7 linked regions of the Oryctolagus cuniculus genome follow. The protein of the gene in region 2 interacts with the protein of the main gene of each other region in a pairwise test. Links are inferred from orthologs where the notes say so. Each region holds a gene or a part of one and is shown on either strand. Other genes may lie near its edges. The genes, in order: TNFAIP1, ZMYND19, ENOX1, LZTS2, SAXO1, KCTD13 and NAB2.

What was found.
Region 1: the proteins of ZMYND19 (region 2) and TNFAIP1 interact in binary tests that used the Homo sapiens proteins (3 or more experiments, as listed by UniProt). The two-hybrid records come from large-scale screens. The link is inferred for Oryctolagus cuniculus from reciprocal best matches to the Homo sapiens genes ZMYND19 and TNFAIP1.
Region 3: the proteins of ZMYND19 (region 2) and ENOX1 interact in binary tests that used the Homo sapiens proteins (3 or more experiments, as listed by UniProt). The two-hybrid records come from large-scale screens. The link is inferred for Oryctolagus cuniculus from reciprocal best matches to the Homo sapiens genes ZMYND19 and ENOX1.
Region 4: the proteins of ZMYND19 (region 2) and LZTS2 interact in binary tests that used the Homo sapiens proteins (3 or more experiments, as listed by UniProt). The two-hybrid records come from large-scale screens. The link is inferred for Oryctolagus cuniculus from reciprocal best matches to the Homo sapiens genes ZMYND19 and LZTS2.
Region 5: the proteins of ZMYND19 (region 2) and SAXO1 interact in binary tests that used the Homo sapiens proteins (3 or more experiments, as listed by UniProt). The two-hybrid records come from large-scale screens. The link is inferred for Oryctolagus cuniculus from reciprocal best matches to the Homo sapiens genes ZMYND19 and SAXO1.
Region 6: the proteins of ZMYND19 (region 2) and KCTD13 interact in binary tests that used the Homo sapiens proteins (3 or more experiments, as listed by UniProt). The two-hybrid records come from large-scale screens. The link is inferred for Oryctolagus cuniculus from reciprocal best matches to the Homo sapiens genes ZMYND19 and KCTD13.
Region 7: the proteins of ZMYND19 (region 2) and NAB2 interact in binary tests that used the Homo sapiens proteins (3 or more experiments, as listed by UniProt). The two-hybrid records come from large-scale screens. The link is inferred for Oryctolagus cuniculus from reciprocal best matches to the Homo sapiens genes ZMYND19 and NAB2.

What each region holds. Positions count from the first base shown.
Region 1 is NC_091448.1:43,886,713-43,890,670, forward strand, and holds the start of TNFAIP1 (BTB/POZ domain-containing adapter for CUL3-mediated RhoA degradation protein 2), read left to right. Parts: upstream 1-1,158; 5' UTR 1,159-1,360; intron 1,361-3,958. UniProt on the Homo sapiens protein: Substrate-specific adapter of a BCR (BTB-CUL3-RBX1) E3 ubiquitin-protein ligase complex involved in regulation of cytoskeleton structure.
Region 2 is NC_091432.1:237,722,169-237,726,143, forward strand, and holds the start of ZMYND19 (zinc finger MYND domain-containing protein 19), read right to left. Parts: upstream 2,801-3,975; 5' UTR 2,583-2,800; coding exon 2,532-2,582; intron 2,205-2,531; exon of another isoform or gene 1,857-2,204; intron 1,431-1,856; coding exon 1,371-1,430; intron 475-1,370; coding exon 368-474; intron 1-367. UniProt on the Homo sapiens protein: May be involved as a regulatory molecule in GPR24/MCH-R1 signaling.
Region 3 is NC_091440.1:62,510,837-62,514,336, reverse strand, and holds part of ENOX1 (ecto-NOX disulfide-thiol exchanger 1), read left to right. Parts: exon of another isoform or gene 1-695; intron 696-1,449; exon of another isoform or gene 1,450-1,497; intron 1,498-1,794; coding exon 1,795-1,968; intron 1,969-3,184; coding exon 3,185-3,391; intron 3,392-3,500. UniProt on the Homo sapiens protein: Probably acts as a terminal oxidase of plasma electron transport from cytosolic NAD(P)H via hydroquinones to acceptors at the cell surface.
Region 4 is NC_091446.1:28,872,964-28,876,896, reverse strand, and holds the start of LZTS2 (leucine zipper putative tumor suppressor 2), read left to right. Parts: upstream 1-1,133; 5' UTR 1,134-1,378; intron 1,379-1,516; exon of another isoform or gene 1,517-2,241; 5' UTR 2,242-2,311; coding exon 2,312-2,362; intron 2,363-3,933. UniProt on the Homo sapiens protein: Negative regulator of katanin-mediated microtubule severing and release from the centrosome. Required for central spindle formation and the completion of cytokinesis.
Region 5 is NC_091432.1:181,871,670-181,875,169, reverse strand, and holds part of SAXO1 (stabilizer of axonemal microtubules 1), read left to right. Parts: intron 1-518; coding exon 519-721; intron 722-3,500. UniProt on the Homo sapiens protein: May play a role in the regulation of cilium length. Stabilizes microtubules at low temperature.
Region 6 is NC_091450.1:7,313,463-7,316,472, reverse strand, and holds the end of KCTD13 (BTB/POZ domain-containing adapter for CUL3-mediated RhoA degradation protein 1), read left to right. Parts: intron 1-1,761; coding exon 1,762-1,998; 3' UTR 1,999-2,510; downstream 2,511-3,010. Other genes in the region: ASPHD1 (aspartate beta-hydroxylase domain-containing protein 1), read right to left, coding at 2,795-2,904. UniProt on the Homo sapiens protein: Substrate-specific adapter of a BCR (BTB-CUL3-RBX1) E3 ubiquitin-protein ligase complex required for synaptic transmission.
Region 7 is NC_091442.1:59,719,386-59,723,650, reverse strand, and holds the start of NAB2 (NGFI-A-binding protein 2), read right to left. Parts: upstream 2,801-4,265; 5' UTR 2,226-2,800; coding exon 2,143-2,225; intron 731-2,142; coding exon 1-730. UniProt on the Homo sapiens protein: Acts as a transcriptional repressor for zinc finger transcription factors EGR1 and EGR2. Isoform 2 lacks repression ability.

The sequences.
Region 1 (3,958 bases), on a different chromosome or scaffold from region 2:
GCACCCGTGTGGGAGACCTGGAAGAAGCTCCTGGCTCCGGATCGGCGCAGCTCCGGCCGTTGCAGTCATCTGGGGAGTGAACCAGCAGATGGAAGACCCCTCTCTCTGTTTGTAACTCTACCTCTCAAATAAATCTTAAAAATAAATAAAAAACCACTCTGCCTCAGAAGACCAGGAAGGCGAGCACACCTACTGTGTTCATCACTGCAACCCTAGCACCCAGCACGGTGCCTGCACAGTCGGCACTCCGTGGACATCTGTGGGATGACCAGTGGCTGTGCAAGCAGCCGGAGGCCACTACAGCAGCCCAGCACCTGGAGGCCGGCGTTCTGGGTTGAGATGTTTCTGTAAGTCGATTTGCTAGGACTTAGAGGGGCTTGACTGGAGGAGGGGATGAGTGAAGCGGTCGGGCATGAATCCCTTGCACCTGGGAGGGGTAGCTGAATGAGTCACCTGAGACGGGAGAAGGGTTGAAGGAGAGGCTTCCCAGCTGCCCATCAGATTCCATCCCAATTCCCACTACACGCGGCGGAGCGCCGGGGTGAGGGCGGAAACGCCTCACCACGATCCATGCTTGGCATCAGGCACAGGCCCCGTTCCTGGGGTTGGAGGAAGCACGAGGCTGAGTCCGGAGGGCCTGACACTGTCTTTACTGCGCAAACCCGTTGGATTTACACGAGTCCCCGCTTCCTAAGACCACGCTCAAGCTCCAGGCCCAACCTGAGTGTGAAACGCTCGCGAAGGGACGGGCGGAATTCCTAAGTTTCTTTCAGCCTGGAACAGCCTTTCCTCAACAGCGGGTCTGTCCAGTTCCTCTAGACCCAGCTGCCCCCGACCCGAGGTCACGACCTACCTGCCCACCCGTAGCGGTGGTGCGCTGCGGCCCAGGCTGATGTTGACAGGCAGCTCCTCTCGGCGGTGGGCAGCAGTCAGTGCCTGGCCGGCTCGCCTCTCCTCAGCCGCTGCCACGGCTACAAAACCTGTTTATCCACAACGTCACTTCCGGACACCGGAAGCACTCACACCCGTTCATCCTACAGGGCCTGCTGGGAAACAGAGGCCCGAAGGGAAGGATGACTGCCTACAAGATCCAGAGGCCTTTGCGCCTGCAGGGCTACCGGAAGTGGCTATGCTCTTGCCCGGAAGATCCTCCGGGAATTTCCGCCTCCCCTCCCTGTTAGAGTGCTGTGCATGCCGGGCTTTGTAGTCTCAGGCTTATGGCCCGCTGCTCCGGGAGGAGTCGACCGGCGCAGGATGTGAGCTCACAGCTCGGGATTGCTGGCGGGCAGGCAGCCACAGGTCAGAGACGGCACGGAGTTCGCTCGCCCCCCAGCTGAGAGGAGAGGAGCCCCCGGCGACGGTGAGAGTCGGGCCTCGGCTGGAGCAAAGACTGCCCGCCGGGTCCTGGGAAGCAGGGGTGGGACGGCGCAGCGGAGATGCAGAGCTGGTCTCGGTTCCTTGGTAGTGAGGGGGGCGGGCTGGGCAAGAGCCTACGCTGGCCACGGGAGAGGCTGGCCGTGGCCGAATTTCTCCAGGACCTTGCAGCCTAAGCCTCACACCTAGGATTTCTGCTGGGTCCACCCTCTATAGCCAAGATCAGCTCACGGCTTCCCCAACACCCACCCGCCCCCGGCCCCCCGTGCGTGACGGGTTTCTAGATCCTTCTTCCTTTGGGATCCAACCGCGGTCCACCGCTTTGGTTGTCTGCCTTTTGTTCGCAGAGTGGGAAATGGATCCGCCCCTAGCCCCAGGCATCCCCAAATACCCACAAAGTCCGGAAGGAAGAGTATTGAGTGGAAACTTCATTGTCGCTGGAATTACTTTCTGGGGCGGCACCTGCCGCAGGATTCCTGGAACTCATTGGTCTGAATGGAATCTGAGCTGACGTCAGCCAGGAACAGTTGCTTTGCAGGAAAGGAATAGATTAGCTGTGGATTTGTCTTCCTCTCCTGGCAAACCGCAGGCTTTCAGTACCTTTGCTTTGGGAGAAAATGCATGTGTTTTCTTTGACCTTGTTAAAAACTTTTCCTGGGTGGACTGATTGGTTTGGAGTCGGTGGGAGGTTAGGTCATCCGCTGTCCCAGTGGAGGTCTCGGCAGACTCCTGTTGAGGGCTTTTCTCATCCACACCGCATGCCTGCACAGTTCATCACTTCACAGGACACCCACTCTGGCCCTTTTGGGACATTCTTCCCAGGGACCTGCCTAAATCTTTTCAGGGACAATTTCAATCTGACGAACTGCCATGGACTTCAAAAGGTTCGTGGGAAGTCAAATTAAGAAAAATTTATTTTGGTGGAGAAAACATCTTGAAATCCATGTATAAAAGTGCAGGCCAGTGTGCAGAAAGACCGCGTGCGGAGTGGAGCGGCACAACTGGGGACACCAGTGCCATTTGTGGGCTGCACTTGGCGAGGCACACCGTCAGCTCCCGCGTGTGAGCATGGAGGGAGAGGATTCTGCCTTTTCTCTGCCTCTGTTCCCCCTGTGCTCCAAGTCTTCACCACTTTATGCCTGCACTACTGCTTCCTCTGGTCCTCCCACGGCCTCTGCACCCTTACAATCCATTCTCTACACCGCACCCAGAAGTATGGTTGCGATTATCTCACTCACCTGCTTAGAACCCTCCAGTGGATTCCTGCACTGCACTGCACTTGAAATAAAGCCCCAGCTCTTGGGCACCAGCTAGTACCCGCCTGCCTGCCTGCCACGGAACCAGAGTCAGTGCCAACTCCTATTTTCCTTTTTAAGTTCGTTAACATGAGGATGCTTAATTGAACTCCTTGAAAGCAAAGACTGTATTTTTCATTGTTCCCTACTGTTTCACAGGGTTGGCAGTCAGTAGTTTCACTGCTAAATGAATTAAATAATATACATTAAATGCCTAGAATAGTGCGTGGCACATGAAAACGCGCCTTAAGAGTCAGCTATGACATTCTCTTTAGATGAATTTTAGCGCTTCTCTAGGAAGCCAGAAGCATAATGTGGACTTGCAGTCGCGAGGGTGACTGGGTGGCTCCCTCCGCTCCTCCCGCCTGAGAGCTCCTGTTAGTGCTTTAATTTATACATCATGGCTGGCACCGCAGCTCACTAGGCTAATCCTCCACCTAGCGGCGCCGGCATACCGGGTTCTAGTCCCGGTCGGGGTGCCGGATTCTTTCCCGGTTGCCCCTCTTCCAGGCCAGCTCTCTGCTGTGGCCCGGGAGGGCAGTGGAGGATGGCCCAGGTGCTTGGGCCCTGCACCCCATGGGAGACCAGGAGAAGCACCTGGCTCCTGCCTTTGGATCAGCGCGGTGCACCGGCCGCAGCGCACCAGCCGTGGCGGCCATTGGAGGGTGAACCAACAGCAAAGGAAGACCTTTCTCTTTGTCTCTCTCACTATCCACTCTGTCAAAAAAAAAAAAAAAAAAAGAATTTATACATCATTTAATTGCTTTCAGATCTGTCATCTGATGTTCTGGTTCTGCCTCCTCATTCTTGGTGGAAAGCTTGAGAGGACGAGATAGGGCTGGGCTCCCACTTAGGAAAAAGAAGTGAAAATAGACGTCCTGTATTTGTTCTGCCCTGGCCAGTGGTGACAATTTCAGGAACTTGGAGCATTGCCAAGAAAAGGGACGGTCAGGAAATCCAAGTGGAACCTAGGTGACACTGCCGAAGACCCTGGCTAGGTCCCCCAGTCTGACTCACTCCATTGTCTCCTGAAGCTGCTTTTACTTTCCTTTCAAAACTCCAGGTGACGCTAAAGCAAGCACGGGCCCAGGACGCTCCTGCACCTGGTATCTCTAGAAAGGAAGTCCACCCTGTCCCTGTGGCTCCTGGGAAAGTCCTAGTTTGGCTGATGCCCAGCAGGTTTGGCTGGAAGTCTGGGTTCCTAGTTACCCTAAGAGAATAAATGGAATTCTGACTGGTAGATGCCCAGCAGGGGCTGTTCCTCAGGCCTAGGGCTGGCTTGTCTTCTT
Region 2 (3,975 bases):
CGATACCCCGAACCAGACCCAGACAGCCTACAAACAGTTCCTCAGCGAGAGGTCCCAGACACCAGCATCCCATCATGCACACCGAGGCGGCAGTTAACTTCCCCAGTGAGCTGCCCCTTCACACCCCGCCGAGGCGCCCCAGGAGAGCCGGGGCAGAGCGCAGGACCCCCCCCCCCCCCCCCCGCAGAGCCTGTCCTGGGGCGTGAGGCGCTTTGTCTGTGGACGGAGTGCTGGGCAAAGCGGAAGGCAGTCGTCCACATTCCTGTACCACAGGAGGCACCAGGCACAGACAACGGGCCACTGACTCGGGGAAGGTGAGGGTCACACAGGGCCGAGGGGGAGACCAGCACAGCGCGAGAACACCCACCACAGCAGCTCGTGAAGGAGCCTGCCCGATCCCCTGCCTCGGTTCTTGTCAAAGGCGTATGCGAATATCTTAGCACCATTTCCGTCTGCATCTACTTCCATGCGGGCCTGAAAAGAACAAGGAAAGGATTGGTAAAATCCTCCAATTTCCAGATCCCTCTTAGAATAATCGAATGAAACAAAAAAGCCGGAAGACAGGGCCCAGCCCGTTTCTGGGACCTGGGTGTCTGTGGATGCAGAGGCCAGCTATGCCCCCTCAACCACTCCACCTTTCACTCACACAAGAAACGCTCACACTAGCGGCCGGCACTGTGCGTGGCAAGTTCAACCACCACCTGTGGGGCCAGTATCCCATAGAAGCGCAGATTCTAGTCCTGGCTGGTCTACTTCTGATCCAGCTCCCTGCTAATGGCCTGGGGAAGTAGCAGAAGATGGCCCAAGTGCTTGGGTCCCTGCACCCACGTGGGAGACCCACAAGAAGCTCCTGGCTTCAGCCTGGCCCAGAGGATGGAGGATCTGTCTCTGTCTCTCCCTTTCTAATGCTGCCTTTCAAATAAATTTTAAATAACCTTAAAAAAAACCCTCACTCATAAGCAATTATTTGTGAAGTTCTATGGGCGCAGAGACAATTTCCCACCAATAAAAACCCCCCACGATCCCGTGAGAAAGGGACACCCTGGAGAAGGAGCTCCTGCAGAACTGTGGGGCCCTGTGGCCAGAGCACCAGGGACCACTCGCAGAGGTCGGAGGCAAGTTCCTTACAGAGCACCTGGGACCGTGGAGAGGACTGGGTAAGCTGCACTAGGGACACCTGTCAGCAACAGGACAAAAGTTGATTTAACAGCAGCCAGCGACCAGGGAGGGTGCAGGTCGGCCAAGGCCAGCGTCAGAAAGGCCACGGAGACTCCACCGGCTGGCACCAGACATCCACGTGCCGGGCCTCTTGGACCCAAGCACCTGCACTCCGCTCGGCCCTCCCGGGAACACCCCATCTGCGCCCTTACCTCGAAGGAGTAGCTCTCCACCAGTGGGATGTCTTGCTCATCTATCAGCGTGTACTTGGTCTGCAAATCAACCACATTACAGAGCGTTACACTTGGGGTCTGCGCCTCATTACAGCCAGGGGGCCTGGCTCTGCAGCACTGCGTGTGCGGCAGACACAGCAAAGCCACAGGAGGAGGCACCTGGCTTCAAAGGCCTCCCACACAAGACCGCCCCCGATAAAGCTGGCCAGACCTAGTGGGCTGCCCTGGAGCAGGGGCAGAGTACACACCAGGTTTCAATTTGTCTGTTAAGCTGGGCAAGGGGTGCACAGGTGCTCGCCCAATCACCCTTTTCCAGTTCAGTCTGCCTGGAATGTTCCGGATGAAAGATTTGGGGACGTTAATGCAGCCTGGAGAGGGCCAGAGCTCCAGGGGAGAGCCCGGGACACCCCCAACAACACCAGCCTCACTCCTGCGAGATCTCTCCTAGGATCGGAGCTGTTTTACCTTCACTTGAATGCAGACTGCCTCTCAGTCCCTGGATATAGGGACCAGGCTTCCATCAGGGTAAGGCCCAGGCTGCTGCAAGGCGGAAACAGCCAAGCCTCCAGGCCCACTGGTGCCAGAGGCCTCGCCTGCAGCCTGTGGAGGGCGGAGGCCGGGCTAGGGGAGAGAAGTCGAGGGAGCCCTCGAGTTCACCAACACCGGGGTTCCGGCTTCCTTGTCCTGCGCTGGGGAAGCCCACGCTCAGTGCAAGCTCAGAGGCCCCCATCAGACCCCCTAGCAAGAAGGACTGAGGTGGCGCTGCCCTGGAAGGGGCGCCGTGTTCAAACCGCGCGGCCGCAGGTGCAGCCCTGGCGCCGGGCTGGGCCCAGTTCGGAAGCCCCACATGGGAGAGCGCCAGACGAACGCGGCCCGGGCACGGGCGCGCATCTCCGGCCCTGGTCCTAGACCGGGCCCCGGCGAAGGCGGCAAGGGGCGCGCCCCACCGACTTCAAGAGGCGGCCTGCACCGGAGCGAGGCCCCGCAGCCGGGCCCGCGCAGCGCCCCCGCCCCGCCGGCGCCCCTCCGGGGCCGGCGCCCCCGCCCTGGCCGCAGCCCGCACAACCGCCCCCGCCCCGGGCCCCGCGCAGAGGCCAGGGCGGGCGGGCCGGGCCCAGCCGCGGGCTCCGCGCCGCTCACCTTCCCGGCCACCCGGCCGAGCCGCACGATGCCCAATTTGAAGTCGGTCATGGCCGGGCCTGCGCTCTCGGCCGGCAGCGCCGCTCCCTCGGGAGACACCGGGCCGAGGCGAGGCCACGGCGCGCCCGGGCGGGCCGGGGTCGGGGCCGGGGCCGGGCGGGCTCCGGGCGGGACGAGGCTGGGCCGGGCTCGGGCCGCCGCCGCCGTCGCCGCCACCTCGCGCCCGCCGGACCTGCCACGCGCCGCCGCCGCCGCCGTCGCCGCCGCGCGCACCACCGCGAGCCGAGCCGAGGGGCGGGGCGCGGCGCGGGACACACCCCCCGGCCCGCCGCTGCCCAGCCAATCGCGAGGCGCGCCGTGCGCCGGCTGGCGCGCGCCGCCGCGCAGCGACCAATGGGGGAGAGGAGAGTGCGCCGGCGCGCTGGGGAGCGGGGCGAGCGCGGGGGAGGGGTGCGGCCGGGGGCGGCGCCTGCGCGGCGGGCCCGGCTCCGACGTCAGTTTCGCGGGAAGCTTTGTGCGGGCAGCTACGCCTCGCCCGGGCGGTCCCCGCTGTGTGGCGTCCACGTGGGTCCGCTTCGCCGTCGTCTCCCCCGGCCGGGCGACCTGCTGCGAGCCTCTGAGGAACCAGCCTGAGGAGGCCTCCGCGCCCAGCCCCCCGGAGCCCGAAGGTGCCGGCCACCCGGGCCTGGACCGCCCCGCGGCCCCGCGGGGAGGCCCGGGTCGCGGCTCCCGGACTCAGATGGGGCGCGGCCCCAGTGGTGAGGGGCGGCTGGAACGGCGCGGCCGGGGCCGCCCGCGGCGTGTCCTCCGGAAAGCCTCGGCCTCTCGGGGCGGGGTCGAGCTGGGCGGCCACGGCGGCGCGTGTCCGGCTGAGGAGCCGGCGGGGACCCCGGGCATTGAGGGGTCTGCAGAGGCCACCCCGCGGAGCCCCCTTTCCCGTGTGCCGGGCTCTGCTTTGCAGGCTGTTTTCTCAGAAAACCTCGTGACATCTGGGTCCCTGTGCCTCAACCTGCCAGGGGCGAGAGGCTGGGAGGCAGGGCCACCAGTCCAGCCTTGCAGGGGGGCAATGTGGGGATCTCTGCCCGCATCGTCTATGTGTGGCTCTGCCGGACCAGGCGCTGCAGGCGGCCCGGTGGCGCGGGGTGTGCGTGGGTCGCCCGTCCTTTCCGCCCAGGTGCGCAGTCAGCATCCAGGGAGGGCGAAGGGTCGTTCCTCCGCCCCAGCCCGGCAGCGGCCCCGGGGAGGGTCTCCCTGTGTGCCAAGCCGCCGCCTCTGCATGGCCTGGGGAGTTACCTGCGAGAGTGAGCCTTCCTAGGAAGCCGCCACAGATACAGTGGCATGAGACAGTGCAGCTCTTGGTGAGGTGTGGTGAACTTGGGTGGTTTCTTTTCTCCAAGTCTCAAGAGCAGTCGAGGATGGGGGGGAGTCATCACGGTGCTGGCAA
Region 3 (3,500 bases), on a different chromosome or scaffold from region 2:
CAGCGGGTCTCACCCCATCTGTCATTGTTGTTGGTCCTGATGGCCTCCACCAGCTTAGCCCGAGCCCCTTTGTTCTCCGAGTTCACCTGCATGAAGGCAACAAGGGTTCAGGTCTTCCTGTGGACCAGGCACACCAGCCCGGCCTTTCCCTTGATGGTACAGTGAGCGAGGGACCCCCCCCCCCCCATCTTCCGACACAGAGCGGGCGAGAGGGCAACCAACTCAGTGGGATCCGCATCGTGTGCAGTCACCACCAGCTGAGCCTTCTTATTCTCCACCAAGGTAGTGACAGTGCTGACACCCGCCCGGAGGACACGTGGGCTCTGGGTCCACTTTGACAGCAGCTTTCTTCTCAGCATGGGCCAGTGGCCTCTGCTTCCTCTCTCGCTTTGTCCCTGGTCTATACTTGTGGGCCAGCTTCAGCAGCTGGGTAGTCATCTGGCAGTGCATTGCCTGGGTGAACTGATTAATGGCAGGAGGCACCTGCAGGCACTGCAGCCAGATATAAATAGTGGGGCCATTTGACAAAACGGGTGAGGCCCCTCTTGGGCTGGATGTCCGGTCCAGCGGGAAAGTTCTCAGGCCTCTTCTCAAAGAGGATTTATCACCTCATCGGCCTCCTGCTTCTTCGTGACAGCAGGGCCCACGGCTGCCTTCTTTCCCTGGGCCTTCAAGCCTTTCAGTATCTTGGGCGGCTGGAGAAGAGAGAAAGGAAAGGGAATACGGCCGTATCTTTTTTATTTCATTGTGTTTGCGATATACCTAATAGTGAGATTGCTGGATCATATGGTAGTTCTGTTATTAATTTTTCAGAAACCCTTCATATTGCTTTTGCACAGTGGCTGCTGCACTAATTTATATTTCTACCAACAGTCTAGAAGGGTTGCCTCTACTCCACATCTTCACCAACACTTTTTATCTTTTTGGTACTAGAGGTCTTTTTTAAAGAAATAATAAATAAAGTCTTATATATTACCTTTGAAATTACTTGCTTCATTATAATATTTTAAAAAAACAGTATTTCTGCTGGAAAACCAATGCTTTCTACCCTCTTCCCAGTGCTGAATTTTTTAAATAAAAGGCATAAAAATTTCAGGAGGGTAGGCTAATTATTTGTTGATTGAATTATGGGAAGGAAATGTAATTATCCAAAAGAATTAAGAAATGTATATAGCTAATTTTATGCCTGCACATATCTAAGCCATAGTAATTATAATCGCTCTTTGTTTTTTGTTTTTTTTTTCATCCCCTGGGGGAAGTAGGTTAGGTAGGACCTGAATGCATGATTATAAAGTGTGCACATATAAATTAAACTTTGGCAAATGTAGGTCACTTGGGTAAGAAGACTCTTTTGATAAAACCAGGTTGACAATTAGATTCACAGGGCACTTCAATGTTAAATGCTGTTCTTCCCACATTCTGGGTCATAAGGCAGTGTAAACAACACACAAAGTGAAGAAGCAGAAGACTGCATTCACGGTAATAGGGAAGCTTCATGGTGCATGGTTTTACACTTTAATACATTGTGTTCTGTTCTGCCATGTTAATATTTTAAGTAATATAATTTCCTTTTCGTGTAGGTTTAGGTCCGTCCCTCCCTCCCTCCCTCTCTGTCTCTCTCTCTCTCTCTCTCTCCCCTTCTGAATTAATTTTCTGTAATGCTCTACCTTATGCCAGGAGCAATTCCTGAAAAACAGGAAATATCAAGTCAAGTAATTTTTTGCAGCAACAACAACAACAAAAAAACGGATTTAAGGTTCCCCAGCCAAAAATGTTAACTTGTGTGCTTTGCAGACTCAATCTGTGTCCCAGGCTTTGATCCAAGCCTCAACATGATGACTGGAATCACCCCCATCAACCCAATGATACCAGGACTGGGGCTGGTACCACCTCCTCCACCAACAGAGGTGGCTGTTGTCAAAGAAATCATCCATTGCAAGAGTTGTACTCTATTCCCTCAAAATCCAAGTAAGTATAACTCTCCTGAGAAAGGCTGGCTCAGAATTTTAGCTTCTTTTCTTTTTAAAAACAATTTTAAATAGTGTTGCATTCATTTTCAGATGTGGCTCACCCTTAGCTGTACAGAGTGAGGGTCCCTCTCTGTATAGCCCATCTCTGTTCTCTAGCTGAGAACACAGGTATGGGGACCTGTGCATATGTCTCCCTAGGAGCTGAATAATCCACACCAGGAAGCCAGCGCTTGGGATTTGGGGATACACAGCCAACGTTGAGAATATATTTACCAATAATGATGGCCAGCATTTGCTCGAGAATATAGTGTGAAATATATAAGCCATTCCACCCATCTTCACAAATGTAGGACACAAATTCTGAAATGTGTTTTTACTGGATAGAAAATTGAATTAATTTGGCAGTTGGCAATTTGGAGGCTGGGGCAACCTGCATCTCAGAGTTTCTGGACCAAATTGCCTTTGCTTGAAGGACACATATATTTGATGAAGTCCATGGGACAGAACTTTTTTTTTTTAATTTTTAGTCTCAGATAACTCAGTGTATGGGCTTACGTAGCTAGGAGGCTTTTTTTTTTATTGCTATTAATCAAGGGTCGCCTCTTTCAAGTGGACTTTTCAGGAGATTGCTTTAGTAATCTACATATAAACCAGGTGAAATGTTGTGACAATGTACAGTTTTATCTTTTTATGCAGCCACCCCCAAATTTAATAGTGCGTGCATTTAAATGTGAATAACGACAAAGTGTTTTTTCAGGCACAGTGTTTTCCCAGCCAAGTAAGTATTGTGCTTCTTCCCTGGGTTGCGCCTCCGCCTCCTGTGTTCTGCCTTGCAGCTCCTTTATCTGGCACCAAGACAAAGCCAAGAACGAGCTGAGGTTTTTCATCAGGTTGTCATTTCATCACGTTTTGTACTTGGTGGAAGTTTTCTCTCCTCCCCATCCCCCACCATTTCCTGGGCTTCTGTGTTAGGAAAGGGGCAATGAAATTGTGCGCCCATTTGCTCTCGTCTTTGTTCACAGACAAGCATAGGCGTGGAAATGCCCACAACTAGAGGTTGGGAGGAGAGGGAAGTCAAACGGAAAAGCCAGCCAGCCTGGGATATGAGGGAAGTTGGGGCAGCTGCCCCTGCGAGCGCGACTTTCGCCAGGTGAACCAAGGAAGGAGAGGCAACGCATGCCGCACAAAACCATCTGTTCTGTTGTGATTGCCAGATCTGCCCCCTCCGTCCACGAGGGAACGGCCTCCCGGCTGCAAGACGGTGTTTGTGGGAGGATTACCCGAAAACGCGACGGAGGAAATCATCCAGGAAGTCTTCGAGCAGTGCGGTGACATCACAGCGATTCGGAAGAGCAAGAAGAACTTCTGTCACATCCGCTTCGCAGAGGAATTCATGGTGGACAAAGCCATTTACCTCTCTGGTACTTTGCATTTCATCAGGGGTTTCTCTGGCATCTCCTTACTTGTGATGTTACTATGAATATGAGCTCATTCCCTTTTTGCCTTAGGGCACAATAAGGTCCTCCTAGT
Region 4 (3,933 bases), on a different chromosome or scaffold from region 2:
GGGGGGGATGCTCCTTCCTGGGGCAGAGCCCAGCTCTGGCTGGCCTTGGCCCTGCGGGGGAGGGCTGCCGTCTGGGCGAGGGAGGCCGTCCTCGCCAAGGCCAGCGGGCATCAGCTGACCTGGCCAGGTCACAGAGACCCCTAAGGAAAGGTCTGTGTGATAGAGTGCATGCAAAACACGGTGTGCAGTATGAGAAGCTGTTTGTGAGTACTGCGAGGCTGTCAGCATGTGAAAGATGCTGGGAGGTGCGAGGGCCTGCGAGTTGTTGTGAAAGACTTAATGCACAACCGGTGTGACGCGGGGCTGCGCGGGAGCTGGCCTGGGAGTGCATGGAAGGAGGCCTGGGGGACCACGTGACGGATGAAGCTCTGCGATTGCGGCTGCCCGAGACTGAATGTGGGAAAGGTCGTGTGGGTGTTAAGATGTTGTTTCCAAGAGGGTGAGCATATGCGTGACCCTGAGGAGACCGTGGAATGTTGTCTGGTGGGAAGCTGGTGTAGGCTTGGGCTGTGCCTTTCCACTGGGGAGGCCAGAAGCCGCCCTTCCCCGGGCAATGACCCTTCTCTTAGCCAGCGACTCCAAGGGAAAGTTGGGGAGTCCAGAGCCGCGCCAAGGGCAGGCCTGGGCTGGCGTCCACGGGCACGGGCTGTGGAGTGGGAGAAGACCCCCCTGGGTCGGGGGGCGAGTAGATGTGCTCTGAGAACCGACCGCCAGGTGGCGCCGCCTCCGCAGATCCTCGTGTACCGCCTCCAGCCCGCTGTGGGGTGGGCCAGGCAGGGACCTGGCCGCGGCCCCCGACTAGTGCTGGGGCGCAGGGCCCCGGCAGCCGAGGAGCGGCGGGCAGCTGACCCTCGGCTTCCCGCTCTGGACTCTGAAGCTGGAGAGTGTCTGGGGCGGGCTTCGATTAGAGAAGCGAGGGGGAGGGGCCGCCGCGCCGCGCCTTGGCCCTTTGTGCTCGAACAATGACCAGCTGCCGCTGGCCCCGGGGCCCGGCTCTGGTAGGGGGTGACCCGCCCGCCGAATCCACAGCCGACCGAGCCGTCCGACACGCAGTCACCGAGACTCGGCGGGAGGGGTCCCGCTCGCCGCCGCGCAGCCCCTGCGTGCGCCCCAGCAGACACGCGTGACGTGGGGTGCCTGCGCGTGTCCGCGCCCCGGGGCGGGGACGCCCCTCGGACCCCTCCCCCGCGCCGCCCCGCGCCGCGCCGCCCACTCGGGCCGGGAGGGGACTGGCCCGGGCCGGGTGCGCCGCCGAGGCGGAGGCGGGGCCCGGCCGGGTCGGGCCGCTCCGAGTGGCCGCGCGCGGGCCGGAGCCGGGCGGCGCGCCTGTGGAGCGCTTGGGGCGGCCCGGGGCTGAGCATGGAGCAGCGCGGCGGAGGTGAGGGGGAGGCCGGGGCCGGGAGGAGACCCGGGGTCGCCCCCAACTTCTGTGCGGCGGCGTCGGGAGGGGAGGCGGCGTTCGGCGGCCGCCGTGCTGGTGGGGGGGGGGGGTCGTCGGCTGAGTGGGGGTGGGCGGGGGGAGGGGTCCCGGCTTCCTGCCTCGGAATGGGAACTCGGATCCCAGACTTGAGCCTGCGTGACTGTTCTTGGAGTTGAGGTGGGAGGGCGACTTTCCCGAACTCCTCAGCCCCCAAAACAGGTCTGCGCGAGCTCGGAGCGCGGCCAGAGCCGTCGCTGGCCCTGGCTGAGCCCCAGCCCTCAGCCCTCCGTCCTGCCCACCGCGGCGATTACTCGGGAGAGCGAGGGGTTCCCTTTGCCCACAGCCACGGCGCATTTCTCAAAATGGAGCCTCGGCTTGCCCCTCCTTCTCAGTCGGGCTCTGAGAGCGGGAGTCCTACTGGCTGGGCCTGGCTGGCCGGCTTTCGTCGCTCTGGGTCTGGGGGGCCTTGGCCTCTTGCGGTTCCGGGGCCTGGCGCCATGGGCCGGCCTGCCTGGCTTCCTTGGCCGCCTGACCCCCGCGCCTCCCTGAGCCTTTGTCTCGGCCTTTGGCTCTTTCTCCGAGTGGGCCCATCGCCTTCCTTCAGTTTTCACTTTTCTCTGTGCTCCCTGAAGAGGAGAAATGCGGACAGAAATGCCAGCCCGCATGGCCCCCTTAGCAGCCCCTTCCCCCGTCCTGTCCGTGCCTTACGTGGCCCTGCAGAGGGAGGAGGAGGCTCCCGGGTGCCCGCGTTGCCCAGGGCTGGAGCTTGGGGTGCTGTCAGGCCCCAGCCCTGCAGCCAGGCCCACCATTGCTCCCAGCAGCTCCTCCGGCAGTCTGGACTGACACCGACCTGGTTCTTGGTGTCTTTTCACTTGGGTAGAGAGGAAAGGGATGAACTCGATGGAACACAAGCAAGAAAGAAGGGGAACAGCTCGGACAAAGGTGGTTCCCCCTCTCCCCACACTCCAGAGTGAAAACTGGCGGGTTCCCTCGCACTCCCCGGTGCCCGACATGCCTGCCCTCAGAGCCTTCTCTGTGGGTAACCCGGCTCTGGCCGGCCTGCTGTGCACACACAGGAGTTCGCGGGGGGGAACCCATGTCCTGGGTTCCTCTTCAGCATCTCAGCACACTCACCTGTTACCTGTGCATTTACTACTCCTGCGTACTTGCATGGTGACCCTTAATTACACACGCATACGTGTGAGGTTCACACGTTAGTTCACACCTAGACGGGTGTATGTATTGAACATGTCCAAACACACACTCATGTTTTCACACGCATTATTCCTGGCACGCAGTGCTCACTCTGCTGCCCCTGGGCATAAAGGCGGCCATGAAGACCTGTACACGCACACATTCCTACTCCCAGGAAGTTTTCTGTCCGCCTCCTTGGCCTGCACGTTCTGCATGATGATTTCGGCAGATGCCAGAGCCCTGGTGCTCTGCGGCCTCGGGACCGGAGGGAGTTCCCCAGGGAGGCTTGCTCTCCCCTTCCAGGAAGGAGCAGAGCCCGGGGAGGTGGTGAGGTCTTGGAGCAGCTGCCAGAAGTGATGGTGGGGCTTCCGCCTCCATCGGGGTTTCTCTGGAGATGGCGGAAGCTGGAAGCTTCTGATAGAGGTTGGAGTCGGGCAGCGCCCATGAAGGCTCCTTTAGGCCCCATGTCACACCCTGACTGGGTATGGAGAGGGTAGGGGTTGTCATAGAAACAAGCAAGTGCCTGCATCACCTCCAGGAGGCAGGTGTGTGTGCCCTGAGAGCTGTGGACTGCCTGTTTGGCCAGCTCCACCCTTGCCGCCTCTCTGTCTGGGAGAAACTGAGGCCCAATAGGGGGAGGTGGGGCGCTGCTTGGCCTTGGCTCTTTGTTCCCTAATTATTGTCTGAGTTGCTGGTGGTGTCCTTGAGGTTGTCGCTGCCCAAACTGCCCTGTAACGAGGCCACCTGTCCCAGGAGACTGGGGACCTGGGCCAGGTGCTGGGAGAGAGGGCTTCTTGCCTAACCTGAGTCCTGGTCTCCGTGGGGCTGCAGGTCTGGGTCTGGGCCTCCACTGCCAGGTGGCCCTGTGCAGGCTTCCGATCCCTTCATCTCTGCCTGGTGGCCCTGTGCAGACCAGGGAGCAGTGGTCTGGGGCCCAGAGAGAAATGAGATTCGTGCCAGTACTTGGAAGAGGAGCCTTGGGGGGGGGGGGGGGTCAGGGCGTTGTTACTCATGTCAGGAAGGCGTTTGGCCTGGATCAGGGGACAGCACAGGGACTCAAGGCCTTGTATAGGGAGAGGGTATAGGATGCTGGGATTCTTTTTGTTTTGTTTTGTTTTGACAGGCAGAGTGGACAGTGAGAGAGAGACAGAGAGAAAGGTCTTCCCTTGCCGTTGGTTTACCCTCCAATGGCCACCACGGCCGGCGCACTGCGCCTATCCGAAGGCAGGAGCCAGGTGCTTCTCCTGGTCTCCCATGGGGTGCAGGGCCCAAGCACTTGGGCCATCCTCCACTGCACTCCCAGGCCACAGCAGAGAGCT
Region 5 (3,500 bases), about 56 Mb from region 2:
TAGGGTGGTGGGAGATGAGGGTGGGCAGTAAGGTAGAGGCCAGGTCCAGGAGAGTTTACAAATCATTCTAGGAGATCGAGTGTTATCTGGGATATTTGTAAGCTGGGGAACAAAATGATCCCGTTTTCATTTAGACAGTTTGGCCATACTATGGTGGTTGAAGTAGAAATGGTGGGAGAGAAAGCAGGGAGCTTGCACAGTAGGCTGTCACATGATCTAGGGCCTAAACTAAAGGGGACAGAACAACTCATGAGGTGGAGGAGGCCACACCTGGTGAATGAGTGACAGACTCTGGACTGTGAGAGAGGGTTTCCAGGATGACATCCAAGAGTCTGATTTGGTGAGAAGGGAATAGTGGTACCATTCTAGAAAGTGGGAGGTAGACGAGGAAAAGCAGTGAGTGGGGGCAGAGAAGATGTTGACTTCTCAGCAAATGTTTTAGGATTGGGTTGGGATGGAAAACACAAGCCTCATTCCAAGCCAAGGACTCCAACAATATGTATTTGTTTTCCTTCCAGAAGAGACTTTGGGCCTCACAAAGTGGTACCAGTGAAGGTCCACCAGCCCGAACAGTTCATCCCCAGTGAAGAGAATATGGATTTGCTCACAACATACAAACAAGATTACAACCCCTACCCTGTCTGTCGAGTGGACCCCATTAAACCTCGGGATAATAAATACCCGTGTGGTGACAAGATGGAGTGTCTGCCTACTTATAAAGGTGGGAGAACGCTTGAGAAGTGGGCTGGGGAAAGGATAGGCTGAATTGTAGACAGATCAGGAAGTATGTTTTGTATGTTCTCTTGGTGCAGGGGTCAGCAAACTCCTTCATGAAAGCCAAATCCAGCCAACAGATTGCTTTTATATGGGTCGAGAGCTAAGCATGGTTTTAAAATTTTCAAATGTTTGCCAAAAAATATATATTACTTTAAGACATGTGAAAATTACATGGAATTCAAAGTTCAGTGTTTACAAGTACATTTTATTGGAATACAGTGCATGTTATCGCTGGCAAAACTGAGTAGTTTGACAAAGACCCTATGGTCTGTAAGGCTATAGGTACTTAGTATCTAGCCTTTTACAGAAAATATTTTCTGACCCCTGCCTTAGTTCACTGTTTGAATCATATGCATTGGGGAAGTACTTCAAGTTTTAGGTGAGCTAGATTCTACTGATTCAATGACTGATTCACGCATTCACTTAGAACAATATTGAAATGTAATATACAGGAATGTATATAAATCATAGTGGTACAGGCCAATGAATTTTGGCTGAATACACCCTTATAAATAGCACCCAGATCAAGAAAATAGCATCACTACTCCCTTTCAGCCACCTTTCTCAACTGGAATATAACCATAATGCTGATTTTTAATACTTCAAAATAATTTTGCCAGTTTTGTAACATATTTTAAGTGAATTGACATAGTTTTACTTTTGACATCATTATACTTATTTATGTGTTATAATGTGTTATTTTCATACATGTGTATGTTATATTTTGTTCAAATCATGGCCCACATTTACCTCCTCAAATATTTGTTATTGCTTTGTCATGAAACATTCAAAATCTGTTTTTGAAAATTTAAAAAAATTGCATAATTATTTTTCGTTGATTATCTATTACATACCAGGCATGTGCCTAGGAACTGTGAACTGTCCTAGGCCCTCTAGTCCAGTGGGAGAGAAGGGCAGTGGAGTCCTATGGTTGGGCTACCAGTATAACAGCAGATACCCCTGAGAGCCTGGCCCCAAGATGGAGATCAGAGAATGGAGGCCAAGCTTGTCATCTGTAATGCCTCTGTTTATGATGCACACTGTTGCTCTAGGAAGACAAGTTTCAACAGTTAATTTATGTGAAACATCGGTGTACCTCTGAATGATCTTGGTGGACCTCTATCATAAGGGTTATGTTTAGTTAAGCATTTACTAATGAGGTAGGCTGGCAGCAGAGGTGGCGAAGGCTGGAGACATGTGGGAAATTTTGCTTGGAGGAGTTCTGAGCCTACCATTCTGGTGGGCCCTGCTCATATTGGAGATTCAGGGCTGTTACTAGTATAGACCTCTATGGCAATCTCCACTCTGGCCTTTTACTTTCTTACCCTAGTGTGCTCCTCTCCTAGTCATCCATAGCCACCTTCTGAAAGACAACCCTCTGGACATTCTACCCTGAAATTATCCCACCTCTGAAGACTTTGTGTACCCCAACATCCGGTCCCTCTGACTTAGTCTCTGATCTGCTTCCATCACAACAGTTCTTGGCCTTGTTGTATCCCCTAATCTGTTGGTGCCCAACCTTCTCTCCTGTGCCTGTTCTTTCCATGTAGCCTATTCCATGTTAGATCATTGCAGCTCATCTGTCACTAATGCCCTAAACTCCCTCTACCTTCCATACTTTTGTTGTTTCCCGCTGGCCAAGTCCTAGTCTTGCCTTCTTGAAGTGTACTCCTTGACATACACTTGAGCATATCTACAATCTTATCAACTAATCTTCTGTGCTTGAAACTCCTCAAATAAGCATTGTAGTATTTAGGATCAAATCCCAATCCTTACTAACTTCTAAAGCCTTGTAGGTTCTGGATTCTCCATCCCGAGCTCCTCTGCTCCAGCCTTAGGGCCTCCATTCAGTTCCCTTCCTCCATATCTTTTCTGCTTCAGGATTTTTAGCGTTGGGATTCCTTCTGCATAGATCTCTCCTGCTTTCTGTGTGTCACTTGTCCTTTAGCTAGCAGCCAAAACATCACATCGGCAGAGGCCTTCCAGGATCTCCCCTCAAGCCAGTTCAGGTGCTTAGAGCACCGTTAGAGCACCTTATCGATCCTGGAAGGACTATCCCCTGTCATCATCATTGAATAATTTGTTTTGCTTAACATTTATCTCACTGGTCAGACTATCAGCCTCAAGGGGTCAAGGATCTTCCATTCCCCAGCCCCAAGCCAATTAAATTGTCTATACTTGTGGAAACCACACACCCTTTAACCTCTATGAAATGTTGGCTTCCAAAATTGTGCCCTAATGGAAAGCCAAGACACTCTGGCGAAAAAAAAAAAAAAAAAAAAAAAAAAAAAAAAAAAAAAGAGAGAGAGAGAGAGACCTAAATGAAAGATCTCTGCAAGTGAGATCCCAGTGGAAAGAACGGGGCCATCAAAGAAGGAGGTACCTTTCTCTGAAGGGAGGAGAGAACTTCCACTTTGACTATGACCCTGTCGGAAAAAGATTGAAGTCGGCGAACCCAAAAGGCTTCCATAGCCTTGGCAACTCATGACTAGAGCCTAAGGAGATTACTGATGCCATAAACAAGAGTGTCAAATTGTTAAGTCAACAACAGGAGTCACTGTGTACTTACTGCTCATGTGGGATCTGTCCTTAATGTGTTGTCCAATGTGAAGTAATGCTATAACTAGTACTGAAACAGTATTTTACACTTTGTGTTTCTGTATGGGTGCAAACTGATGAAATCTTTACTTAATAAATACTAAATCAATCTTCTGTATATAAAG
Region 6 (3,010 bases), on a different chromosome or scaffold from region 2:
TGCCACACTGCTGGCCTCTTCTTCCTCATCCCTGTGCCTAAAGGACACGTATTTCATTTTTAGGCCCAAGATGACCAGCACTTTCTTTGTGACACTTTCCCTCATGAACTTTCTTTAAAAAAAAAAAAAGAATTATACGTAAATATATATTTTATTTTATTTTATTTTTTTGACAGGCAGAGTGGACAGTGAGAGAGAGAGACAGAAAGGTCTTCCTTTTGCCGTTGGTTCACCCTCCAATGGCTGCCGTGGCCAGCACGCTGCAGCCGGCGCACCGCGCTGATCTGATGGCAGGAGCCAGGTACTTATCCTGGTCTCCCATGGGGTGCAGGGCCCAAGTACTTGGGCCATCCTCCACTGCACTCCCTGGCCACAGCAGAGAGCTGGTCTGGAAGAGGGGCAACCGGGACAGAATCCGGCGCCCCAACTGGGACTAGAACCCGGTGTGCCAGCGCTGCAAGGCAGAGGATTAGCCTAGTGAGCCGCAGTGCCGGCCAAGAATTATATATAAATATATAAATTGGAGAGGCAGAGAGCTGCCATCCACTAGTTTATTCCCCAAATGCCCACTATAACAGGCTGGGCCAGGCCAGAAGATAAACCAATCGTAAGAGTGCATCTTGATTAGGACATGCCCACTACAACAGAGGCTGGGCGGGGCTGGAAGATTAACCAGTCATGAGAGTGCATCTTGATTAAGAGCTGTGGTGGTTCCCGCCTTCCAAGGCCAGGCATCCTCTTGGCTTCATCCTTTCTGCTCTGCCTCCATCCCAGTGGCACTGGCCTGGCTGACCCTCGCTCCTGACCCAGAGCTTTCACATTTGCCCCTCCCCAGACAGACCACCTCCTCTGGCTGTCCACCCAGGTGGACGGCACCTCAGGGAGGCCTTCCTGAACTGCCTGACATGGTGAGCCTCCTGGCTGTGGCCAGCCTCACCTGCCTCCTCTCCCAGCGTCTGTCATCATCCGACTCAGTTTACGTTTTCGTAAGTGTACGAGGCTACCTCAGAAAGTTTGTGGAGAAGTGGGATTACGAGATAAGTTTATTTTGGTGCCAAAGCATTTTGAAGTGCATGTGGTGTCTTTCATTACATGTATTTTCCACGGACTTTTTGAAGACCCTCATATGTGTGAGTCTCCCCACTAGAACGTAAACTCCCTGTGGGCAGGGGCTTTGTCCCCAGGGTGCAGAGGGGGCCCCGGGACAGCGCGGTCCTTGGGTGAGTATTTGCCACATGAGGAGACAAGGCCGCGGAGGAGCGGAAACAGTCACTCTGCCTGGCTGCAGAGCTGGGCCTTGAAGCAGGACTTTGCTGAGTAAAGACGTCACAGGGGCCAGCGCTGGGACGTAGTGGGGAAAGCCGCCACCTGCGACACAGGCATCCTATGTGAGCGCCAGCTGGAGCCCCGGCTGCTCCACTTCCCATCCAGCTCCCTGCTACCAGCCTGAGAGATGCAGTGGACGACGACCCAAGTCCTTGGGCCCCTGCACCCACGTGGGAGGCCGAGTCGAAGCTCCTGGCTTCCAGCTGGCCCAGCCCAGCCATTGCAGCTGGCTGGGGAGAGAACTGGCGAGTGGAAGCTTGCTCGCTTGCTCTCTCTCTCTCTCTCCTTCTCTCTCTGTAACTCGGCCTTACAAATAAATAAGTAAATCTTAAAAAAATGAAGAAGGTGCAGAGACATCCAGGCCAGTGCAGGAGCCGCCAGGGCTGGGGGCTGGCTCTGTGCTGCTGGACCATGGCGGGTTGTGACCTTGCACAGGTGGAATTCCCAGAGGCCCGGATCTTTGAAGAGACCCTGAACATTCTGATCTACGAGACTCCCCGAGGCCCAGACCCTGCCCTCCTGGAAGCCACAGGAGGTGCGGCTGGAGGAGGTCGGGCAGGCCGAGGGGAGGACGAAGAGAACCGGGAGCACCGCGTCCGCAGGATCCACGTGCGGCGCCACATCACCCACGACGAGCGTCCTCACGGCCAGCAGATTGTGTTCAAGGACTGACCTTTGACCCTGCCCCGCCTTCCTGCCTCCCCACCCCAGCCCCTCCCTTTTTCCCTCCCCTTCCCAGACCTTTGCCCCGACTCTGCTGGCCAAGTCGTGGGTCTCCCCTTCACCGCATGTTCAGGTCACCGTGGCCCTTCTCCACCCGTTCCCATGCACTGCTGACACCACGGGGCGCCCCGTCCCCTCAGCAGAGCCCTCCCGCACTGAGGGCTGTCACCCATCCCACCGTTCCCGGCCTCGCCCTGCCGTCTTTGCCTGGCGGCTGGTTTTGAACGATTCCGAATCCCCTTTGTGTTTTTTTAGCATGTAGCCCACGCTCAAGTGTCAAGACAGACCTTGGCGACGGCCACCACCCCGGGAGCCCCCACCCCCTCCTTCCCCTGCCGTCCCCCCTGCCCCGTAACTGTGGACTAGGCTGGCTTGGGCCTGGGCCAGCTCAGCCATCTTCTCGATCTGTTTCGTATTATTTATTATTTAAATTTTCTATTAAATTATTGGAATACAGTTGAGTAGCGGTGTGGTGCTGGCTCCCAGCAGAGGCACAGGGAGGCGGCCTGTGTTAAGGAGACACCTGACTGGTTCTGCAGGGGAGGACGGGCCCCTGCCCTGAGCCCTGTAGCCGGGAAGGAAGTAGTCGGCACACCGGAGAGGATCCAGAAGGTCTATTTCGGTGCCCACGCCACCTCCCTCAGCCTCCGCCCTCCCCCAGCCCCCCGGTCCCACGCTGGCCATCGCTCTGGCTGGCCCTCAGTGCGGCGTCTCCAGCTCAGATGTCCGCAGGGGAAGACAGCACTCAGGGGTCTGGTGCGAACACATAGTCCAGGGCCTGGCGCTCGGCCCCAGCCACATTGGGGTGCCAGAGGTCCACGATGAAGACCACTCGAGGCCCATCTTCGGGGGAGCCTAGGGCATGGGGGGACGGACGGAGAGCAGCACTCACCACACACGGGAGGGGGCGCGTGGGCAGGAAGTGTGAGGCCTCTCTCTAACCCTTTGCATGCGTTGACTG
Region 7 (4,265 bases), on a different chromosome or scaffold from region 2:
ATTCAGCTTCAGCAGCGACGTGACCTCCCCGGTGTCCCCCCTGGGGAAGCTCCGGAAGATCCTCTCCACGCTCTCCACCACCATGCGCACCATCTCTGGCTCTAGGCGGTCTGGACTCCCCCCAGTCCCACCCGCTGCCAGACCCACGGCCCCAGTCCCCTCAGGGACTCCTCCCCCTGCAGGTGGGGAGAAGGGAGGTGAGCCAGCCTCTTCTTCCCCTCCCGCCCCAACGTCTGATTCTGGAGTGCTCCGGCCCGGCCAGATCCGGGGGTCCCCCGTTCCAGGACCCCCCGGCAGTGGCGACAGCTTCTCTCCAAGTTCAAGGGGGCTCTTGGGGCTGAAACTGCGGGCACCGCCCGCCTTCTCTCCTGGGCTGCTGTGTCCATTGCTCATGCTGCCCTTCCGGGTACCCGCAGTCTCGGAGATCTTGAAGAGCGGGATGCTGGAGACAGGCACGGCAGGCACCGGCTGGCTGAAGAGCCCTGGATTGGTGGCCCACTCTCTCAGTGCCTTCTGCAGGCGCCGCACGTGGAGGGGCTTGGTGGCCATGCCCACAAGTGCCATGATCTCCAGGAACTCCTCCTCGCCGGCCTCACACAGCTGCTGCACGTCGTCCCCTCCCTGCTGGATGAACGTCTCATAGTAGGAGAGGAGATTGGCCCGCTGCAGGACCCGGTACAGCTGCAGCTCCCCCAGCGTCCGAGGCAGTGCCATGGCTCGGGCACTGGGCCTGAGAAGGAGGGGCGTGAGAGAAACAGTGAGTGCAAGGCCCCCGGCTGGGTACCAACCCACACTAACAATTGTTCTCTCTCTCCGTCGGTTTCTTCTCTCCCTCTGCCCAGCAGCGCCCAGCACTGAGCACAGACTCTGAGACTTGGGCACTACTCGGAGGCATTGACATGCCACTACATCCCACACTAGCCAGAAGCACCCAAAGCCAGGGCCTTGTTGGCGGGAGTCAAAGGCTCACCGCCCCCACCCCCACCCCATCCTCAGCTTTGCCCTTTCTGGCAGGGGTAAGAAGACCTTAGGCACACCCCTGGGATGGCTGGCCCTCCCTCTCTCCCCCAAAACACTTGGCCCTCACCTTCCACCCTAAACACCTCAACACAAGTGACATCACACACTAAGGGGAATGTCCCACTCATCCTTCCCACAGTGGACACTGGGGACCACTGCGAGCCACCTGCACTCCCTTGGGGGCATTCTACCAGGGTGGCTGGGAGGGAGGGGTGTGTCCCCTTCCCTGGTCTTCCCACTAGGAGCCAGGCTGACCCCTGCTCCTGTGCCCCTCAGCTAGCCCAGGGATCAGGCACTCCTGATGCACCTTAGCTCTCCACCCCGCCCCCTCCGCCCTCCCATGCTGCCCAGTAACCTCCCCTCGCGCCCCGCTGGCCCCTCTCCAAGCAGTGACCTTCCCCACTCACTCCCCTCTGTCCCTTCAGCTCAGACGGTGGGGGAGGGGAGGGGAGCTCGATTGTTCTGCTCTGGGGCCAATCCGCCCACACACACTCCCACAGCGGTAGCGTCTGTGGGCGAACCCCGCCTAGGGGCTCCCGCCTACTCTCGCCTCCCTTAATTTCCACCCACACTTTCAAGTGGAGTGGGGGAGCGGCTGCACACCCAGACGCCCCTCTTCACGCTGTGAACGAAGGGGCAGCAGGGGCAAAGGACGCCGAAGGCACCCCCTGGCTGCTCAGGGCTTTGCTGCTATTCCCGTAACTGAAAGGCGCCGACGTGTGCGGGACCCCCCCCGGGGGGGGGGCAGCGCTCGGCGCCAGCTGCAGACTGAGCCGGCTGAATGCGCCCCACCGGGTACTGTTGCCAACTCCAGTCCTTGGGCTTCTCCTGGCACTTGCGGACTCCCACAGTCTTTACAGGGGGCTCACACGCCAGTTCAGGCCCACCGAATAAACTGGGAATGGAGAATCAGGTGCCGCTCTTTCACATCAAGTTGCAGCGGATCCTCGGCTGCTCCCAGGGTCCCTTCATTCGAAGACGCACCCCCTTTTTTCATCAGTCTCCACCTCCCACCCCCGTCCCGGTTCCCCACGTCCTCGCCGCGACCTCCGCCCTCCGGACCCCACTCCCAGTCCAGCTCCACCCATCTCCACTCCCCGCTGTCTCCCTCTGCCCACTAACTTGAGTCTGGGCTGCGGGGTCCGGCGGGCGCTGTCCCCTCCGCCCGGCGGCTGCTCAGCTGTGGGGGAGGGCGCTCTGTGCATGGACGGCCGGAGACCACCCAGGCTGCCCCTCCGGATGCCCGGCGCTCGGCGCCTGCTGCGCGCTGCGCTCTTCCCTGCGCGCGATGCCGTGTCCACCGCTGTCCAGGCTCCGTCCCTCCCTCCACGTCCTCTCTCTCCGAGCCTCCGCGCCTCAGTCTGTGCCTCTACCCCCCCTCCCCGGCTGCTCTCGCCGCCTCTCAGCGCCTCCACCCCCGCAGGACGCACGGGGAGCGAGGCCCCGCGCTGCGCTGGCTGCCGGGCTGGCGGGCGGAGGGCGTGGGCAGAGCCGGGGGCTGGGGCCGGGGGCGGGGGGCGGGCGCCCGGGCCTCTCGGTCTCCGAGACGCCGCGGCGGAGAGACAGAGAAAGGCGGAGACTGGGGGGGAGGGGGTGTGGAGCGGGAGGCGGGGGCGGGAACTCGGAGCCGGGGAGCCGAGTTGGGGACCGAGGTGACCGAGGCCGGGCTGCGGAGGGCGGGCTTGGGGGCCCGGCGGGCGGGGCGAGGTCGCTCCATGCCGCCCACGCCGGATGCACAGCCGGCCCTCTCCGCACCCACGTACCCACGTGAGCGCCCCGCCGGCGACATTCCTACTCCCCCCCACCCCCCCGCCACCCCTACCTCTCCGAGAGGAGAGAGGAGTTGCACAACCACGCACAGGTACACAAAGACACGGGGAAGCGCAAGGACTGCACACGCGCCTCAACAACCGCGCGGACGCCCGCTACCCGCACGCAGGCCTCGCGCTGCCGTACGTGCGGATGCGGAGAGCCAGCCGGCGAAAGTTGGCGAAGGGCTCAGGGCGCGCGGCTCCTCCAGCGCGTGCCTCTCCTCCAGCAGTCTTGCGCTATAGGATCCCTTGGGTATCCCAGCCCTTCCCCTGCCCTCAAACGAAAAGATTGGAAGGGGCCGCTCTCGGAGACCCGGGCCGCCTCCATCTCTGCCGGCCTCGGGTCGTTGCTGAAGTTTTAAACAGGGATGGGCGGGCCATGCTAGAAGCCACCAATTCGGCGTGCGCGGCTCTGCCGCGCCAGGTTGGTTAGTCCGGCCAGCAGGGGCGGCGGCGGCGGGGGGGGGGGGGAGGGTGCGCCCCGCTTTCCTCTGCTCGCCGCCGCCCATTGCACCAGGACGGGGCCCTGCTCCTCGGCCGCTGTGTGTCCCAGGTAGGATAAGGATACCGTTCTGGGACACCTATGAGTCCGGGCGGCGAGCAGAGACCGGGTGCTCCCGAAGTGTCTGGCTGCGGCCGGAGGGGCGCCTTCCCCGGGGCCGAGCCCCCTCCGCAGCCCACCTCCCCCTGGGTTTCTCCTAGCCCATCTGGTTCCCATTTCTCTCCCGCCCACGGCTCGGAGGGTGGTGGGGAGGGGGGGAGGTGTGCAGGCGGGGGCTCCGAGGGCCTGGCCCAGCGGCTCTAAGCCCAGGGGAACTGAGGTGGGGGCGGCGGGAAGCGAGCAGACTGGCCGAAGGCGAGGGTACTCCTGGTGCGAAGCCTCAGCCCCGCCCCGCCATTCCGCGCTTCTGAGTGGCCAAGCCGGGGGGTGGGTGGCGTGGGCCGGGGCTGGTTCTACATTCCGGCCTGGCCAGGGGACCTTGCTGTCTCTGGTGGGGGCAGGGAAGGAGGGGTGGCCTTGTTGGTGGCGGGATTTCAGTAGTTCAGATTGTCTTCTCCATCCCAGGAAGCTCCAGACGCGGTGGGGGCGGCGGGAAGCAGCGGAGTCCCCCTCGTCCAGTCCCTCAGCGGGAGGGCGCGGCCAGACCGGCTCCCGCCGGGGGGCACTGTCCGACCCCGCTCAGCGGCGGGTGGGCGCCCCTCCCCCACCCCCGTCGGGTTATTTTGGAGCCTGGGCTGCCAGTCGCTGGCCCCGGGTTTCCACGTGCCCCCTCCCTCCCCCTGCCCACGCTCCCCGTGACGCACATCCTCCGCCCACGCAGCCTCTGCTCCCCGCGCCCCCCTCCCTCCCACCCGGCGCCCTCGGGGCGGCGCTGAGCCCTGCTCTCCGCAGGGAGACGCCCGCCCGAGGGTGGGGGGCGGAGCAGGGCGTGA